4 linked regions of the Canis lupus familiaris genome follow. The protein of the gene in region 1 interacts with the protein of each later gene in a biochemical or structural test. Links are inferred from orthologs where the notes say so. Each region holds a gene or a part of one and is shown on either strand. Other genes may lie near its edges.

Region 1 (3,825 bases):
TAACTTTTACAAGAGATGGTGAAAATTGTCCAAAGAAAAGCCATTTTGCTTCTGTTAAAAACAACTTCTTAAATAGTCAACTATTCAGGAAACCACCTGAAGGTAAATGGTTAACTTTCCTAATTCTGTAAAAGGAGGAATATTAATTTAGTAAAGTAGCTAAAATACAAAAATGGAAATCTGCCTTTTTTTAAGGATCTATCAAACTTCCATCAATTGTAATCAATTTTTACTAAGTAGTACAAGGTTTAAAGAAATACATATTGAAAAGGACTGGGGTGGGGCAGACACATTGGGAACCACAAAACCCCTTCCAAGAGTTAAAAATAAATACGTCTTCTTCTTCTTCTTCTTTTTTTTTTTTTTTTAGCAAAAGTGAAAAATGTAAGCCTATTTTTTCTAATTTATTTCTGAATCGGATAATGAGAAGTGAATTAGGTTCTTTTTTTTAATTCAACGATTAATATTTAAAGAGTCATTGAACAATTTGGATTTAAAAACAAATGTGTTATGTAGGCCGACGTCTGAAAAGCAAAATAAAGTACCCTAATAAAGGCAGCAAAATGCATTAATCCACTATGGATGGAGATTTACATTTTAATTTACGCCTATTACTGGATTATAAAAGATTTTTCATTCATAGGCTACTCACAGTTGTTGTTTGGTGCATACAGAGTGTTAAACAACCAATTTGCTAGTTCAGTAGTTTCCTCATGACATCTAACGTAAAGCAAAAAAGTAGTGTGCATATTTAGACATCACCAGCAACCAATACTTCTCGAAATGAAAAAAGTTTCAGTTATACCATGCTTTTCTCAAATCATGCTCTTATTTATACAGGTCGCAAGTTCATACTAAGCAGTTTGCAAAAAAAAAAAAAAAAAAAAAAAAAAAAGAAAAGAAAAGAAAAGACAAGGAAAGAGAAGATCGGGAGCTGGATGGCGGGTACATTTCACTCGGCTTCTTTCTTTATGGCCAGCACGTTTCCCAGCAGTCCGTACCCCTCCCCGTTCGCGCTGTGCGGGCGAGGGGCGCTCCTCCCCGGGGGGCTGCTGTAGGGGCCTCTCAGGCTGAAGCCGGCCGCCCTGGTTTCCGCCGCGGGGAGGAACTCTTCCTTGACCGTGACCTGCGCGACGCTCTCCGCGGAGGAGGGCTCCCCCCACGCGTCCTTGTCCTGCGTGTCCCGGCCGGCGACGGGGCCGCCCCCTTTCTGCAGCATGTAGTAGAGGATGGGGTTGGTTTTGGTCAGCCGCGGGCAGTCCCTCTCGTACCCGTTCCTGTCCGCGTCGGCGATGACCCACTTAATGGGGCCCTTGTCGCCGGCGCCGCCCGCACAGCCGTTCGCTGGCCCCGGCTCCGGCCTGGAGCCCGCGCAGCCCCCGGGCTCGGGGAAGGGGGGGCTGGGCGGGGCGCGCGCCGGGCAGGGGCAGGGGCGGGGGCGGGGGCCGGGGCCGGGGCCCGGGCGGGGGCCGGGGCCCGTCCTGCTGTCCCCGCAGCCGCCGGGCTGCGCGGGGCCGTACAGCAGCCCGTCGAGGGCCGGAATGCTCAGCTCGGGCTTGCCGCCGCCCGCCGCGCCTCGGTGTCCCTTCCTCCTGCCCTCCCCGGCGGAGCCGCTCCTGTGCTGGGACAGATCCCGGACGCAGTTTTCCGACAGGAGCAGCTGCTTGAGGACGTTGAAGCTCTTGCTCTCTCGGGCCCACGCGCGGTGCTCGGCGTCGCCCGCGGGGCCCTGGCTGCCGGGGAATTTGAACTCAAGATCACTTCTGCTGCATTTCAGCTCCTGCTGGCTCAGCGGGGGCCCGTACAGCCCCTCCGGGGCGCCGTGGCTGTCGGCGGCGTCAGCTACGCTGTTCCTCATCCTTTTAAACGGGTTTTCCAAGGGCTCGCTATAAAGCTTCCTCTTCTTGGGGACCACGCAGAGGGTCCTGGCCTCCAGGAGCGCCAGCTCCCCGCTCCTGCGGCTGCCGTCCCCCTCCTCCGCCAGGTAACTCTCCTGGTTCTGCCTCAGCAGCCGACTCAACAGGCCGTTCTTGGAGAAGGAGAAATCCTGCGGTGAAACGGGCTCCGCCTTGAGACCGTCGGGCGCGCTCCTCTGCGCGGGAGGCGCCGCCCCTGGGAACGGGGCGCCCCTGGCGTCGGGGCTCAGGCGCACGCTCGGACTGGGGCTGCGCGGGTCATCGCAGGGCTCGGATTTTATTTTCACCGTCAGTATCTGTTCGCTTAAAGCCCTGTCCGCGTGTTCCTGAGCACTTTCATCTCTCAGAGGAGTCTTGTCTTTCTTGTCGCCCTTCCCTTTGTTGGGGTTCCCCAGGAGCAGCTGGAGGACAGTGCGCCTCTCCAGCAGATTCTCGATCTCGGAGCCAGAAAGTCCCGCCTCGGGGCCTGCCGCTGGACTGCCGAACGCCCTGTTGTCTTCCGCCGCGTTGGTTTTGTTTGAGAGCAGAGGGCTACTCAGCCTCTCCACCATGCCCAGGGGCCGGTCCGCGTTCACGCTCAGCAGCTGCTTGCTAGGCCGCTGCTCCTCTCCCGGGGCGGACGCCTGCACTCCGCACTGAGCCAGGTTCTGCAGCAGCTTGCTGGCACTGAAGGTCGCGGAGTTCTGTGCGCCCTCGCTGTGGGCCGGCTTCTCTCCCAGCGGGTCTTTGCTCTTTGTAAGGTCCATCAGGGGGTTCGACGCGGAGGTCGCTGGCTTTTCAGCCTGGGAGCCGCAGGCGAACGGTGGGGGATTCCACTTGATGACCAGAGAGTGTTGGGAAAGGTTGATGGGAGACTCTGCTTTTGTGGAGGAAAGTAAAGGAGGAGTGCTCACGGGGGTAGTCCTGCTCGTACTGGGGCTCTCTATTACGGAAGTCCTCGCGAAGTTCTGGCTACCGAACTTGGTCACATCGCCGTGTACTTCCTGGGGGCTGCTGTTTCTTTCTACACTTTCTTCATTCTTATGGCCAAGTAGCAACTGAAGAAGAGTCACTTTCTGGTGCGAATTGAGCTTAGAATTCTTTGAGGTATCTTGATCTTCTTTGACGTCTACAGTGGGGACTTTGGGATCCCAAGTGTTTAGCAAGGACTGGGTTAAATTATCAAGAGAAACAGGCTGGTCAGGTTCTGGTTTCTCAATTCGATGTTTGCAAGACAAGTCTATGGGAACACAGTTGGAATAGGAACTTTCGTCACCACTGCTATCATCTGTAAAACTAGGGTTGTTATCCGAGTACTCATCGATGGTTGTAGGGGTACTACTATCCTCAAAGATGCTTCCTCTCTCACTGTGATTATGTCCATTCATCGGCTTTGGTATGGTCTGGCTCTTCAGAAGATGTAAAAGCAAACTATTATTAGCAGCTTGTTTTAGATGGTTTCTTTCCAGTGAGTTCTTATAGCCTGCATTTTTGGGGGAAGAAGGAACAACACCCATCGGGTTCTGAAACGCTGTATTTTTGCTCGCCATTAGCTTGCTCGATGATGTTCTCGCCTGACCATTGAGATGGCTTGACATTCCTTTTGAGAGCTGGAAACTGCCAACCTCCTTCTGGCCATTTTCTTGTAATCTGGCCATGGCGGCAAGTCTTTCACTTGCTGCCTGATTCGCATTTTGCGTTTTTAAAGCGTGTTCTCGAGAATACTGCTGCAAATGGGCTTCACTTGAAAGGAGTAACGCTAACTGGCTACAAGCAACACTAGGTTTGGGTGAAGTGGCTGGACTAGCCCTCTTTTCCACCATGCTTGCAACAGCCTGTAACCTGGCAGCACATGACAACGGTTCGCTCATGACTTTTGTTCCACTTTGTCCAACATGATGTGGTGACTCTACGAACCTGTCTCTGATGA
Region 2 (4,519 bases), on another chromosome or scaffold:
CCACCTCCCGCCTGCCCGGGACCCCTCCCAGGACACCGCAGCCCTCCCCAACACACCAGGGCTTCAGAAACTAGGCCCGGAGCCCGTCAGACCCCAACGTCCCCTGCCCCAGCAGGCTGTGCATATCCAGCCCTGACCACCACCTCCCCAGAAGAGGCTCCCTCCCGCCCCCCCGCTGTACTTAAGCAGCCCTTCCCCACTCGGGCCCAGCACAGCCAGCTGGTGGCAGTGAGGCTCCCCTCGGCTGCCGGCTGCCCGTGGTCTGGAGGCCTCCAGGGGGCAGGGTCTGCGTGAGTGCCAGGCACCCCGAGGCCAGCGGCCACACTGACTCCAGCAGGACAGACCCACGCACCACACCGTGTGGTCCCCCAACTCATTGTAAACCAAACAGGCGCCCGCTCCCCCACATGTGCTGCAAAGGCACGTTCTCGTCACCGAGACTCTGCCTCCCACACAGTCCTCTCTCGCGCCCTGACACGTGTCCTGCTCGCTCTGTGATGCTCCAGGATCCCACAAACAAGAACCCTGTCCTCGTGCAGAGAACACTGGTTGGGGACCCAAGGAATGTCACCTCCCTGCCCTCCCGCACGCGACGTTCAGCAGCTGCTGCAGGGCGACCCCATATGGGGACACGTCCTCTAGGGCAGGCCTCGCACATCAGACTCAAGGACTGGCGGCCGGACGAAGCTGCTGTGGGCACCGAGCCTGCCTCCTGACAGGCCAGAGTCCAAGCCTGGGGAGGGTCCAGAAAGCAGCCCCCGCCCCACCCGCTGACCCCCTGGGATTTCTTCTCCAAGGTCCCAGGTTCCAGTCCTGCCAGGTGCCCACCGTCCTCCCAGCCTGTCTATGGCCAGGCTGCAGGGCTGGCAGGGATGTGAGGGACCCCCACCCTGAGGGTGACACAGGCAGAAACAACTCAGCACTAAGAGCGCCTGTGAGCTCTGTGGTTGGGTGGAAAATGCCCCCCCACCCTGCCCCGCCAGGTGTCCTGCAGCTCGTCTGGGCAGACAGGCGAGGGCCCCAGGCCAGCGTGCAGCCCGTGGCTGATCCGCAGTGAGCTCCTGGAGTCCCCTCTGGGAACCCGAGGCAGGTGTATTGTGGACTGCCCCCCGAGCCTGCCATGGGTCCTCCTTCGTGCCCCTGGTCTCAGGAGCCAGGAGTCTTTGAGGAGGCTGTTGTCACAGGATAAAAAGCCTGCACAAGCCTTCGACTGGGTCCTCTGCGCCCAGGAGCCGCGGGCGGCCAGCAGCAAGCTGCACTCCAGCTACTCAGACTGGGCAAGGCCCCAAGGACACTGGCATAGGGCGCTCCAGGGGCAGGCGAGATCGTGGCAGAGAAAGCCCCATCACGGCCCAGCTCTCTGCTCATGACCTGCTGGCCCCTTCCACCGGGCCGCTGGGGAGCCAAGGCCAGGCCACCTCTGAAGCCCAAGGGCCCTTCTCCGGCAGAGGTGCCTCCCCCGCACTAGGGTTCCACCGGCCAACCTCTGACAGCTCACCCGATGGCCCAACCTCGGGTACTAACCACAGAAGGGGCTGCTGCAGCCTCCCAGAGCTCGGGGTCGCAGCCTGCTGTGCCCCCAGCACCCCCGCCCGCGTGTCCTCAAGCTGAAGGGACCGAAAGGGAAACCCCAAATGCAGCCAGGAGAGAGGCTCAAGGGCTGAGACAGGTCACCCCAGCCACGAGTCCATTTCTCAGAAACGCAGAGGGAAGAGCAAGCCGTCCGGGTGGGACAGGCTGGAACTGCACAAACAGCCCCACGGAGGCTGAAGGGTACACGCCTGCGCGCGGCAGACACAGACTAACCCCGAGCGCGTCCCCCCAAGGCCTCGCGGAGGCCCACATGGAAGCACGTGCTCAAAGCCGGTGACCACAAACACCGCGGCGAAAAGAAACCCAGAAAGGCAACGGGGCAGAGCGCCCGGCAGGCAGCGCTGGGAGCCGCAGGAGGGGGCAGACCGCGGGCGGGCGGGCGCGGGCCCGGCACTGCGGCTCACCCTGAGCTCCCGGGCCGCGGGGAAGGCCGAGTGCCCGCGAGCCAGGGGCAGCGCCGGCGGCCGCGGGGGCCCTCGTCCTCACGCGGCATCCTCACCTCGGGCACGCAGAGCCGCGACGCCGGGTCCCCGCAGCCGGGGCGCCCGCACCGCCCGCGGGGTGCGCCCTGCTGGGGCCCAGCTGCTGCCGAGCTCTTCTGCGTGATCCTGCCCCGACGGAACCGCTGCCCGGCGGCTGGGGCGGTCCCGGGAACGCGCGGCGCGGACGCCCCCCGCCTGCCGCCCGACCGTCCCGCTGCCCAGGCGGGCGCCCGTGAGGGCCGGTCCTTGGCCGCTCGTCCGGGCCCGCGCAGCCACCGCCGCGTCGGCCCCGGCTTCCTCCCTGCAGGTGGGCCCGTCACGGCGCCCGCGGAGGCCGAGGGGAGGCCGGCAGGAGGCAGGAGGGCGGCCGGGCAGGCGCTCCCGCGGCGCGGGCTCGGGGACGGCGCGGCTGCAGGGCCGAGCCGGGACCCCCGGGGCCGGCGGCGCTCGGGCGCGGGCAGGTGGCGCGGGCAGGTGGCGCGGCTGCCGGCGGCCGTCCTCGTCCCGGGCGAGCGGGCGCGGGGGCGGGGGCGCCGGGGGCGGGCGCGGCGAGGCCCCGGGGCCCGGGCGGGGCGAGCCCACGCGACCAGGAGGCCGGGCCGGCCCCACGCAGGGCGCACGCGGGCCGGACGCAGGGGGCCGGGCCGGCGGGGGGGCCGTGGGGCCGCCGGGGCCGGACGCCGGGCGCGCCGCGGCTGTGGCGGGGCCTGGCCTGGGGGGTCGGGGGCCGAGCGCGGCGCCCCTTTGTGTCACCTGCGCGGGCGGCGGCGGCGGTGGTGGCGGCGGCGGCGGAGGAGGAGGAGGAGGCGGAGGCGGCGGCGGCGGCGGCGGCGGCGGCAGCGGGCGGGGCGGGCGTGACGGCGGCGCCTGCGCACGCGCACTCGCACGCTGCGGCTCGCGCACGCGCACGGCGCCCCGGCCCCGCCCCCGGCGGCGCGCGGAGGCCGGCGCGCACGCGCACTCGCACACAAAGCCGGGGCCCGCGCGCGCCCGCCCGCCCCGCCCGCCGCCCCGCCCCCGCGGCCGGAAATGCGCGCGCGCGGCCTTACCGAGCGGCAGGCCCTTGTTGAGCAAGTGCGAGCTGCCCATTGAAAGGCGCGGGCGGCCGCGGGCCCCGACGAGTCCGGCGCGCTCCGCCGCGAGCCCGGCGCGTGGGGCGGCCTGGGCGCCGTCCGCTGCTCCGCCCGCTCGCCTGCGCCCGGGCGCCGCCGTGCCGAGCCGCGCCGCGCCGCGCCAGCAGCCGCTCCACCGGGCGGGGACAGGCGGCGCGCGCGCGGGCGGGGCTTCCGGCCCGGCGGCCTCCTGTTTCCAGGCGCGAGCGCCGCGCAGCACCACGCGGGCGGCTGCAGGCCGGGCCCGCCCGCCCCGCCCGGCCCTCCCGCCCGCCGCGCCTGCTCACACCTGCCTGCATCCGCACAGGTCCCGCCCCGCACCCCCGCGCGCGCACGCACGCACCTGCCCCGCAGCCCCCGGACCCCACCTGCCCTGCACCCGCACACGCACCTGCCCCGCAACCACCAGGCCCCACCTGCCCCGCGGGCGCGCTCACACACGCACACTCACCTGCTCGCACCCGCACCTGCCCCGCGCCCACCCACACGCACCTGCCCTGCACCCGCATATGCACCTGCCCCGCACCCACCCGGCCCCATCTGCCCTGCACACACACACACACACACACACACACACACACACACACACGTGCACCTGCTTGGCACTCACCAGGCCCCACCTGTTCCACCTCCGCGCGTACACCTGTCCTGCATCTGCGCACGCGTACACGCCCCCCCAACCTGTCCTACACAGGTACCTGCCTCACACCGGCACAGCCACAGCCATCTACACACTTTCCATGCACACGCATTCGCCAGGCCGCACCTGCCCCCACCCGCATCCTGACAGTGGAGCGTGACCGCACCTACCCCCGCACCTCAGCACGCTCCTAGGCAGGGATCATTTAAATGTTCCGGGGTCACTGCAAGGAAGCACAGCAGGTGTGCCACTGCCGGGCCTTCGGGCTCTGGGCCCCTACAGGGTTGCAGGAGGCCGAGGCAGGCATCCCTGGGAGTTTCCCTGGGCAAACTTGGCCTTATGCTTGGGTTCCTGGGACCCAGGAGGAGGTGCAGCCTGGATGGCAGGCCCCAGGGAGAACCTCCTGATCCTGCAGAGAGCACAGAGGCCAGAAATCGGCATCCAGAAGCCTGAGCAGGGACTTCCTGGGCCGAGGGGTACCTGGGAGGTGGCCAGACGTGGCTGAAGCGGGGTGCCCAGTGCCCCCTGTGAGCAGCCTATAGTTCCAGAGAGGCACCTGCGGGAGGGTCATGAGGGTTCCCCCAGGGTGGGGGCTAGCCAGCCCCCAAGGGTGAGACGATCCGGTGACGGGAAAGGGCCTGAGGCCCACCCTGGGGGACCCTGGTCCTGGGAGCTGGAATGTCCTCAGGTGG
Region 3 (4,770 bases), on another chromosome or scaffold:
CGGGCGGAGCGGGCGGAGGGGCCGGAGCGGGGCCCTCGCGTCGGGGGTCGCGCGGGGCGCACGGGGAGGCGCGGCGGGCGGCAGCGGGAGGCGCCGAGGACGCGGGGCGCGGGGCGGGTCCCGGGCGGCGGAGACCACGGGAGCCCGGGGCGGACGCGGGCGGACGCCGTGCTCGGGGGAGCCCGGGACGGCGGCGGCCGGGAGACAGACAGACGGACGACCGGGAGGCGGACCTGCGGGCGGGGAGCAGCCGGACCGGGCCGCACGCTCCGACCCGCCGGGGCCCCGCGCCGGAGACAAAGGCCGCCGCAGCGACGGCACCGAGAGGCGCAGCCGGAGCCACCGACCCCCGGCGTCGGGCCGAGGCGCGCGCGGTGCGGCCGCGGAGAGCTCGGGCGGGTCCCCGCGGGGCCGACCTCGGGCGGGGAGCGCAGGCCCCGGGCGGGGAGGCGCGCGGAGCCGGGGCCCCGGAACCCCGGAGGCCAGAAGGGGCGCGACGGCCGCGGCGACGGCGACGGCGGCCGCGGCCCTCCCGGCGCCCACCTGCCGCGTCCCGCCCGCCCGAGCCCCGCGCCCCCCGCGCCGCCGCCGCTGAGCCGCACCCGGGCGCAGCGCCGCCTGCCCGCGATGACGGCCGACCGGGCCCGGGGCGGGGAGGCGGGGGCGCGGGGCCCGCAGCCCCCCCCGGCCCCCGGCCCCCGGCCCCCCCCGCCGCCTCCGGGGCCGCAGCGAGGCGCACCTGGGGCCCGGGCCCTCCGCCGCCGACGCGCGCTGCGCGGACCCGCCTCGCAGGGGCCAGGAGCCGGCCCCCCTATATCAGCGCGTGCGGTGTCCGGGGGCGGAGGCCGGCCCACGCCCGCAACCACGCCCGCGCCCGCGCCCGCGCCCGCCCCCGAGCCCGCCGAGCGCCTCCGCCGCCGCCCTCGCGGCCCCCCGCGCCCAGCCCGAGCGCCTCGGAGCCCGGGCGGGAGCCGGGCGCCCGGGAGCCTCGAGCCTCCGCCTGCTGGTCCAGCCCCGCGGTGGCAGGGGCCGCGCCGGGGGCGCTGGTCGTTGTGCCGCGCGGAAGCGGGCGAGGGCGGACGTGGGGGTCCGTGGCCGAGGCACGGGGTCGAGGCCAGGAGCCAGGTGAGCCACTGGCCCTGCCGCGTCTCCTCACGGGAGACTCAAGCAAATGTACACGCGCGCACACGCCGCACACACACATGCACACACGCGCACACGCGCGCACGCACACACTGACCCTCAGTCTGCTCATCTGCGAAGTGGTGATGATGAATGGGCCTCCCCGGGAACGGGCACCGGAGGAACCGACGTGGCGCCGGCGAAGCGCGTGCCTCAGCGCTGCGAGAGCGACCAGCAGCACCCAGCGGGGAGACCTGGGCCGGACCCTTCCTCCACCGCAGGCCTCAGTTTGCTTGGCCGGAAATGGGGATCCTCCGAGGTTGGGCGAGGACCTGAAGCCATCAAGGGCGCGGGAGCCGGGAGACCAGAGGAACCCCTCCCCCCATCACGTGCTGAGCCCTTACCCGGGCTGGGGGAGGGGGAGGGAGAGTCCGGCATCCCCGGGACAAAGGGGACCCCTGGCTGGGACAGGCCCAGCAATTGCTCTGGGGGGGCGGGGGGGAGACTGGACCTGGTCACTCTCACTTTTCAGGTGAAAAAATTGAGACGAGAGAAAGGGGCCCGCTCTCGCCTTGCCCCCGCCCCTCCGCGAAGAACGGTACTGAGACCCGCGGGGCCAGAAAGGCAGGGTCCTCACCGTGGGGTGGGGCGGGGCGGGGCGGGGCGGGGTGGGGCCGGGTGGGGGTGGGGGTGGGGCCCGCGGTTAGGCACCCGCAGCGCCGCTACCGCTACGGATCTGAAGGCTCCGGACCTGGCCTGGGCCCCGACCCGAGCCTCCCCCAGCCGGAGCCTCCCCCGCCAGCGGCCTGGGTTGGCACCTCGCTCCCGCCTGCCGAGGCTGGAGACCCCGCAGACCCCCCTGCTGTCTCACACCCGGCGGAACAAAGGATGGAATAGGCAGCCGGCTCGCTGCGCAGGCGGGCCAGTGGCATCCCTTCTCTGTGCCTCAGTTGGTCTGCACGTAAAATGGAAAAGTTCAGCCCTACCGAGGGGAGTCTGCAGTTTCCGTGAGATGCTGTGGACGAATTTTGGTGAGAAAGGAGAGAGCCGAGTCCAGCTTAGCGGAGGACTCCCGACATCCGAGCCCTCAGAAACACTAGCCTTTGCAGGAGCTGGAGGTGGGGGGCTAGTGCTGCTTGTGAACAGCTCTCCATCTGGGAGGGGCCCGCAGAAGGTGGGAAACGGGAGCAGCACCACCTCTGTAGGGGAGTGAAGGGGCTGGAGGAGGAGGGCTGGAGTGTACCAGACATGGTACAGGAAGACTCAGGCGATGTAAGCAGGAGTGTGGCTGGGACTCCAGGTGGTCTAGGGGGCTGGGCTCGGAGCCGGATCCCCCCCCCCACTTCCATCTTACCCCCTCCTTCTCCAGAGGCTACACTATCCCAGGTTGGGTGCTCTGAGGCTGACCCAGGCTCCATTGCACCCACCCCCACCCACATGCCCAGGGAAGCAAACATCGATCTGCACCAGCCACAGAATGAGGACTGACAGAAGGACATCAGGGACAGACACACAAACCCATACAAATCCATACAAATCCGAGGAGGCAACACAGACACACAGGCGGGGAGCCTGAGAGGCCCCAAAGACAGGCCCAGGGACCATGGACACATTCACAGACTGCCAGGCTCGGGCCAACACAGTGCTGCGAACACTTGGCCGCCCCTAGACAGCAGGACACCGCAGAGCCCATGGGGCCTGTCCCCAGAGGCCTAGCTCCTCCCAGTCAGCTGTCCAGGGAAGAGGGGGTAGCATGATGAGAGGGTAGGTCGGGGGCAATCGCTGGCCCCTTCCCTGCCCAGAGCAGCGGGCACTAGTCACTCAGAGCGGGCAGCGGCCGGCCCAGGCCGCAGGGAGGCACTGAGGAGGGAGGCTGGCCATTAGAGGCCTGGGCCCAGGCCCTCACTTACGGAGCGGAAGGAGAGCTCTCACGCCGGATGAGGGTGGACAGTGGGCACCAGGGATCCGGGGGAAAGCTCCGGCAGCCCAGGTGGGGCAGTGGTGACCGTGGGCACACAGGAGCTCCTTCACGCCACGGCGGGCGGCAGGCGGACAGTAGGCTGGCCCTGTCCGGCCGTCCTCCTCCTCCCCGCCCTGGGGGGGGCGGCCACCGGAGGCCCAATTGGTCTCTGCCCCCACGTGACTCTGCGGGCCTCTCTCCTTCTTTGTTGGTGTTTCTCTTCATTTAGGTCTATTTTTTTCTTCTCCTAAAAGAAAAAAAAAAATACCCCTATCTATCTGGGGGCCTCGGTGGGGGTGGAGGCCAAGGCACTCTGGAGGCCTTGGCCAGCTGGCTGTTCCAGGCCGCTGTGGGAGCCCAGAGGCAGGGACCCCATGTAGGCGGTTAGGCAGCCCCGCTTGTTAGTGACTGGGTGGGAGTGGGGCCTGATTTATGGGCAGCTCCCCCACCAGGCCTGCAGCCTGGCCTCTCTCCCCTTGGATGGCTACCTCCCTGAGTCTGGCCTGGCGGGGTCCAGCCTGGCCCAGACATGGGAGTGGAGTTAGGTCGGGCTGGAATGGAGGCAGGGGCATGGATGACTTGATCAGGTGGCTCCTCTGCTTTGGCTTGATCTTTTTTACTCTTCCAGAAGGTGATGAGAGAAAGAAGGGAATGGAAGGCAAGCAGGTGAGCTGACTGAATACCTCCCGAGTGCATTCACATTGGCTGCTCTGAATGTCACCATCTGCTGGGGGCTGCTGATATTCCCAGTGGATGGCTGGGAAAGTGGAAGCTGGGCTGAGGCTGCCTCCAGGGCCAGGTGGCTGCCTATAGTGGTTGCAGGTGGGGCCAAATGGGTAGCTAGGCCAGGATAGGGCAGGGCAGAGGGCAAGGGACTTTGCCCAGATTGCTCTGCCCTGCACCCCTCTGTTACATGACGGAAGGACATCATTCTTTGTGCATTCCTTCACTCATCTCACATTTACTTAGTGCACACTAGATGCCAGGCACTGGTCCAGGCATTGGGGAAAAGGGAAGAAGTCTCTATCCTTGGACAATTTACCTCATAGGCATTGGTCCTGGGGGTTGGCAATAGGCACTGAGGGCCATGGGGCAATCAGTGTTGAGAGCCCGCACCACACCCCTCCATTTGAGGAAGCAGGCCCATCGTATGACACCTCACTTACCTGGCTTGGGGGGAGGGATTTTCTGGATAACTGAAGTCAACTATATCTAAAACCCAGTGTATCTTTCTCTTGTGCCACTTAACACATTTTAAAAAAAGATTTATTTATTTCAGGGGCACCTGGGTGGCTCAGTCAGAGAAGCTTCTGCCTTCGACTCAGGTCATGATCCCGAGGTCCTGGGATGGAGCTCCCTGCTCAGCAGGGAGTCTGCTTCTCCCTCTCCTCCCTCTGCCTGCCACTCCAGCTGCTTGTGCTCTCTCTGTCAAATAAGTCAAAAAAATCTCAAAAAAAATAAAAGATTATTTTAGAGAGAGTCAAGAAAGAGAGAGAGCACAGGGGGAGGAGCAGAGGGAGAAGGAGAGACACAGACCCCCACACTGAGCGTGGAGCCCCACGCCGGGGCTCCATCTCACGACCCTTGAGATCATGACCTGAGCCGAAACCAAGAGTTGGTGACTCAACTGACTGAGCCACCCAGGCGCCCCTGACACATCTTTTTTTTATTCTATTTTATTTTTATTT
Region 4 (4,835 bases), on another chromosome or scaffold:
GGATCACACCTCCGGGCTGAAGGCGGCGCTAAACCACTAAGCCACCTGGGCTGCCCGCTTTTATATTCGTTAACAATATTACTATGTTAACAAAGGAAACAGGATCATCTAAAACTGAGAAGTTATTACTGGTTCTGACATTTCATGATGGCTATCTTGACCATCACTATGGTGATAATCATTTTTAAGTGTAGATATCATTTATTCAACACCTATTATTTACCAACAATCAGTAATTATTTTCTAGAAATACAGTAAATTGAAGTAGCAATAAAATTTTCCCTGTAGTAATAAAACTTTAAAAACTATAAAAATATATACAAAGTTATCACTAGGAAAAAAAAAAAAGATTGTTTAATTCAATAGTGTGCTTCTCACCTATCTTCATAAGAAAACAAAGCAAATGAAGAAAAATACTTTCATCTCCAAAGAAAACAGAAACAGAATGTAAGCAAAAAAAAAAAAATTGTTTGTCTTCCAAGCAGGGTTATTACATATAGAGCAACGCCTTAAGGAAAGTTACAAAAGAATCCACTGTTAAGTGTATCTTTTGAAAACTCCTTTAGGAACATAGGTCTGGTGCAAGGTTGTTTTGGATCTTTATATTTCCTATCCTAATTACTCCAAAAATAAATGAAACATTTACTGAGCATCTACTATGTACAAGATACTTTAGTGGGATTAAATTTAACACATTAAAGTTGTATATCCTACCAATTAGGTAATTTTCAATGTTAGACTTGCCACTAGGGGGAGTGTAATAAATTCAATTGAAGATGGACTGGAAGAGCTTCAGGTTAAAGTTATCACCTACTTGGTTCCAAGATGCTGTGGAATTGTGTATTAAAATGACTGTCTTAGTAACAATCCTATAATTACAACATATTTTTTCTTTAAAATAAAATGACTCTCACTTAAGGGATCAAAGTTAAATAGATCTCAATAGCATTTTCAGCTCAGACTAGATGTATTTTTCTGACAACACTGTCATATTTTAGACCTCATTAGCTAAGAAATAGTAACCAAAAATTCAACTTAAATTTAACATTGGGTTTAACAGCCACATTCCTAAAATGAACTTTGATTAACTGCATTATAAAGTAAACCATTTTTTTCATTCAGGCAAAAATAACTTATAATCGATTTTATATGATTCTGTATGTGAATGCCAGTACTAGGCTTTTCTTAGGGAGCAATGTAGTGACATTTTAAGGTATTTATATGACTAGCAGTAAGGCATGGTGCTCAACAAAGACTAAGGTGAAAGTGGAAAATGCTTTAATTATACTGTATTATGAGATTATTAAATACAAGTATATTAAAAAGTTTTAGAAGTATATTAAAACACTAAGATGAAATAATGAAAGGTACATCTTACATTAAAAAAAATACGTTTAAAGGGAAGATCTTTAATAAAATGTTAATTAGAACCAAAGTTGCTACACTTTATAATGAATACAGTATTAAGGCTTTTGATTTTGTTTTTTAAATCAGCCTTTCTTACAACAATGACTAAAACCTAAAAATTCATCAGGGATATGTTCAAGTTTTCTAACCATACAGATAAAACCCATGATATCTCTATTTTATATTATATTAGGTGTATTAGGATATTAATAAATACATGAAGAGGCATTTGGGATGCCTCTCAATTTTAAATAAGGATGAGGGTAAGTTAGGCAAATACATTTTTATATAAGATGCCACTCTACAAAATATGTATCACAGAACTGCCAAGACAGAAAACTGCTGACTAGGCATTATGCCTAATGTCAGCCACACTGCAGGATAAGACTTCCAAATTTTAATCAGTGTATTTAGAGGTTAACATTCTCTGTTAATGCCAAGTCTAAATCCGAAGAACTATAATAACGGAAATTCTAAAAGGAAATTAAAACTCCAGAATAATGAAACATAACGAAAATAACGAAAAATCCAGTTACTGGCTCCAAACACAAATTTTAAACTTATTTTTCTGACCTGCATTAATGACCTAAATTAAAGTCTTAAGCAAAATGCACACTTCTGACTTGCGTTGAGTAAACGTTTGTGTTCTTAAAATGGTTTATGAAAATTTGAAAAACGTCAAGTAACTCAAACATCATCATTAGTAATAAACACATGAATACAGCCAACACGCAGCAGTCAATCTGTGTCAAGCACAGATTTTTTTTTCTTGAAACATTATTTTATTTACCATCTCACACAAATAAATACCTCACCAAAACAAAATACCTAAGTTTCTAATCACTATTAGAACTGATGAAACTTTGAAGGGGGGGGGGGGGAGGTAATTAGAGAAAGATACTAAGAATGCAAACGTCTGTTTCAATAATTCCACCTCTAAATCTTTCAATTTCCAGACCCTAAAACCGTCTCAAAAGTGTAAGAAAGTTCCCCCCAACGGGGTGGCTGAACATGCAAATCCTCCGTTGTCTCCTGTCCACGACATTCACTCGTCTCTGCTACCACCTCTATGTGTTTTACGGATATGATCACGTTGAGCGCTACAAAATTACTGCCAAATAAGTAAATAAGAGCGCACCAAAAAGCCGGTTGCAAGGACCAAAAAGTACCTTCACAGGAACTGAGAGCCTTTCTTGCAGACGGCACGTGTTCAGCTCTTTAAAACATCTGGCCCTACCAGGAATGAGGATAATAACCGTCCTTTAACCTAACCCATGAGGATATTAAAAGGGGAAGGGGATTTCAAGGCGGTTTTATGTTAACTAATCCACGAGCCCCACAGGGCAGGCTAGACCTGTCAACAAATTAGGAGCAGAAAAAAAAAAGAGAAAAAAAAAAAAAAAAAAACACAGAACAGAGGTGCAGATGGGTGGGGGTGCGAGAGGGTGTGCGCGCGCCACGGATTGCGGGTGGGGGGCGCAATTTTTAAAATGCAATGATTAAAAACGGAAAAACCAAAGGCCTGGGTGTCTCCACCCGCCTCCAAGTCTCGGTTCCAGAGACGGCGTCGGGGACGAGCCTGAGCTCTGGACGGCGAAGATCGGGGGCGGGGTGGGGCCGCCTCCCGCACCCGGGCCGGGGACGCGCGCCGGACACTCACGTTTTCTGCACCGGCTTCCGCCGCTTGCGGCTGGCGTAGGTGATGTGGGCGCCGCTGCTGTTCATGGTGCCCGGCGGGCGGCGGCTCCTCCGCGGGAGCGGGCAGGAACCGGGGCGCCTGCCGCGGCCGGCGCCGGGCTCCACGCAGTGCCGCCCGCTCCACCTGCGTCCCCCCGGGCGGTGGCGAAGGCGCCGGGCCCCGGAAGCCCCGCGCGTCCAGGTGCGCTGCGCGGGTCCGCTGCCGAGGGGCGAGGGGCGAGGGGCGGAGACCCGCGGGCCCAGAGGCGCAGGTGCCTTCTACATCGGCGGAGGCGGAGGCGGCGCGGCGCTGTCCGCAGGTGAGGCGGCCCGGCCGGGGGAGGAGCCTGGGCCGCCTGCTTGGAATCCTGGCCCGGGTCGCGAGCTGCGGCGCCGCGCCCCGCGACCGTCGCCGCGGCCCCCTGGGGAAGGGAGGCGCCGCCGCGCTGCTCCTGGGGCTTCCCCTGTCCCTATCCCGGTGCTTCCCGCCTGCGGAACGCGGACTCCGGCCGCGGTCCGGGGCCACAAGCTTCCGCTCGGCTACGCGGCTGCCCCCGCTCTGAGCCAGTGGTCCCGGCCACGTTCTCGGGACCGGGCGTCGAGCGGACTCTCCCCGCGCTACCTCTCGCCGCGGCGCACACCGGCTCCACGGCAGCAGCGCCCCCGACCCGTCTCCGGCTCCGCCCAGCTTGCCGTAGCCCCGCCCTGTCCCGCTTGGCCCCGCCCCTCCACCCCAGTCCCTCGAGGGCCCCACCCTCCTTGTACGTGGTGACGTAAGGCGCAACGACGCCCCCCCCACCACCACCCCCGTAGCCATCTTCTTGAGGTCAAGGGGAGGATTCTGTGGAAACCTTTCCAGTCCAGAAAAGAGGTGTGACAACTGATTACGTAGGAGCCGAACTCTGTAGCTAGAGTAGCTCAAGGACAGACTTGCCAAGTACTGAGCGTAACTTCACCTCTGTGAGGGTGACTCAGCGAACTTTGACTAAGAATTACAGCGAGCTGGCCGATAACCAGTGGGACTCTGCATATTTTCCTAGAGGGGAAGGCTTCGTTCCGGAGGCTCCGTATGAGTTGAACTTGAAGCCTAAGAGTTTGCTTGGCCTTTTTTTTTTTTTTTTTGTCTCCACGCTAGACAATACAATATCTTTTTCCCCAGCCAGAATAACTTGGTTATTTTATCGTCAGAATAACTTGGTTATTTTATAGTCCATGGGATGGAAAGGGAGCAAGGAAGAAGGAAATCACGGAGCATTTGGAGATAATAAATCTGTTAGGATTGGAGAGAGGAGCTGAAAGTGAAGTTCAGGAATTCTAGAATCAGATCACAGAGCCTTGATGAAGAGTCTAGAGTTTATCCTGTAGTCAGTGGAAGCCTTTTTTTTAAAAAAATATATTTTTTAAGTCTTTATTTATTCATAGAGATGCAGAGAGAGAGAGAGAGGCAGAGACATAGGCAGAGGGAGAAGCAGGCTCCATGCAGGGAGCCCGATGTGGGACTCGATCCCAGGACTCCAGGATCATGCCCTGGGCCGCAGGCGGCGCTAAACCGCTGCGCCACCGGGGCTGCCGCAGTGGAAGCCTTTAAAAGATATTCAGCAGGAAAAGTGCCATTGCGGTTCTCAGAAAAGTCACTCTGGGAGGAAAGTGCAAACTGGATTACAGGAGGGCAAGCCTGCATGCAGGGGGAGTATTAGAGAGTTGTTGAAATAGTCCAGGTGAAAGTCCAGGAAAGTGGCAGTAGGACAGAG

The links.
Region 2: the proteins of NRIP1 (region 1) and CTBP1 form a complex in vitro, tested with the Homo sapiens proteins (2 studies listed by BioGRID and IntAct). The link is inferred for Canis lupus familiaris from reciprocal best matches to the Homo sapiens genes NRIP1 and CTBP1.
Region 3: the proteins of NRIP1 (region 1) and NR5A1 form a complex in vitro, tested with the Homo sapiens proteins (2 studies listed by BioGRID). The link is inferred for Canis lupus familiaris from reciprocal best matches to the Homo sapiens genes NRIP1 and NR5A1.
Region 4: the proteins of NRIP1 (region 1) and AHR form a complex in vitro, tested with the Homo sapiens proteins (2 studies listed by BioGRID). The link is inferred for Canis lupus familiaris from reciprocal best matches to the Homo sapiens genes NRIP1 and AHR.

What each region holds. Positions count from the first base shown.
Region 1 is NC_049252.1:12,287,056-12,290,880, forward strand, and holds part of NRIP1 (nuclear receptor-interacting protein 1), read right to left. Parts: coding exon 953-3,825; 3' UTR 1-952. UniProt on the Homo sapiens protein: Modulates transcriptional activation by steroid receptors such as NR3C1, NR3C2 and ESR1. Also modulates transcriptional repression by nuclear hormone receptors.
Region 2 is NC_049224.1:91,984,048-91,988,566, reverse strand, and holds the start of CTBP1 (C-terminal-binding protein 1), read right to left. Parts: upstream 3,225-4,519; 5' UTR 3,165-3,224; coding exon 3,125-3,164; intron 2,891-3,124; exon of another isoform or gene 2,829-2,890; intron 2,215-2,828; exon of another isoform or gene 2,093-2,214; intron 1-2,092. UniProt on the Homo sapiens protein: Corepressor targeting diverse transcription regulators such as GLIS2 or BCL6. Has dehydrogenase activity. Involved in controlling the equilibrium between tubular and stacked structures in the Golgi complex.
Region 3 is NC_049230.1:58,543,623-58,548,392, reverse strand, and holds the start of NR5A1 (steroidogenic factor 1), read right to left. Parts: upstream 3,225-4,770; 5' UTR 3,033-3,224; intron 1,455-3,032; 5' UTR 1,256-1,454; coding exon 1,241-1,255; intron 783-1,240; exon of another isoform or gene 740-782; intron 1-739. UniProt on the Homo sapiens protein: Transcriptional activator. Essential for sexual differentiation and formation of the primary steroidogenic tissues. Binds to the Ad4 site found in the promoter region of steroidogenic P450 genes such as CYP11A, CYP11B and CYP21B.
Region 4 is NC_049235.1:31,790,785-31,795,619, reverse strand, and holds the start of AHR (aryl hydrocarbon receptor), read right to left. Parts: upstream 3,225-4,835; 5' UTR 3,133-3,224; coding exon 3,068-3,132; intron 1-3,067. UniProt on the Homo sapiens protein: Ligand-activated transcription factor that enables cells to adapt to changing conditions by sensing compounds from the environment, diet, microbiome and cellular metabolism, and which plays important roles in development, immunity and cancer.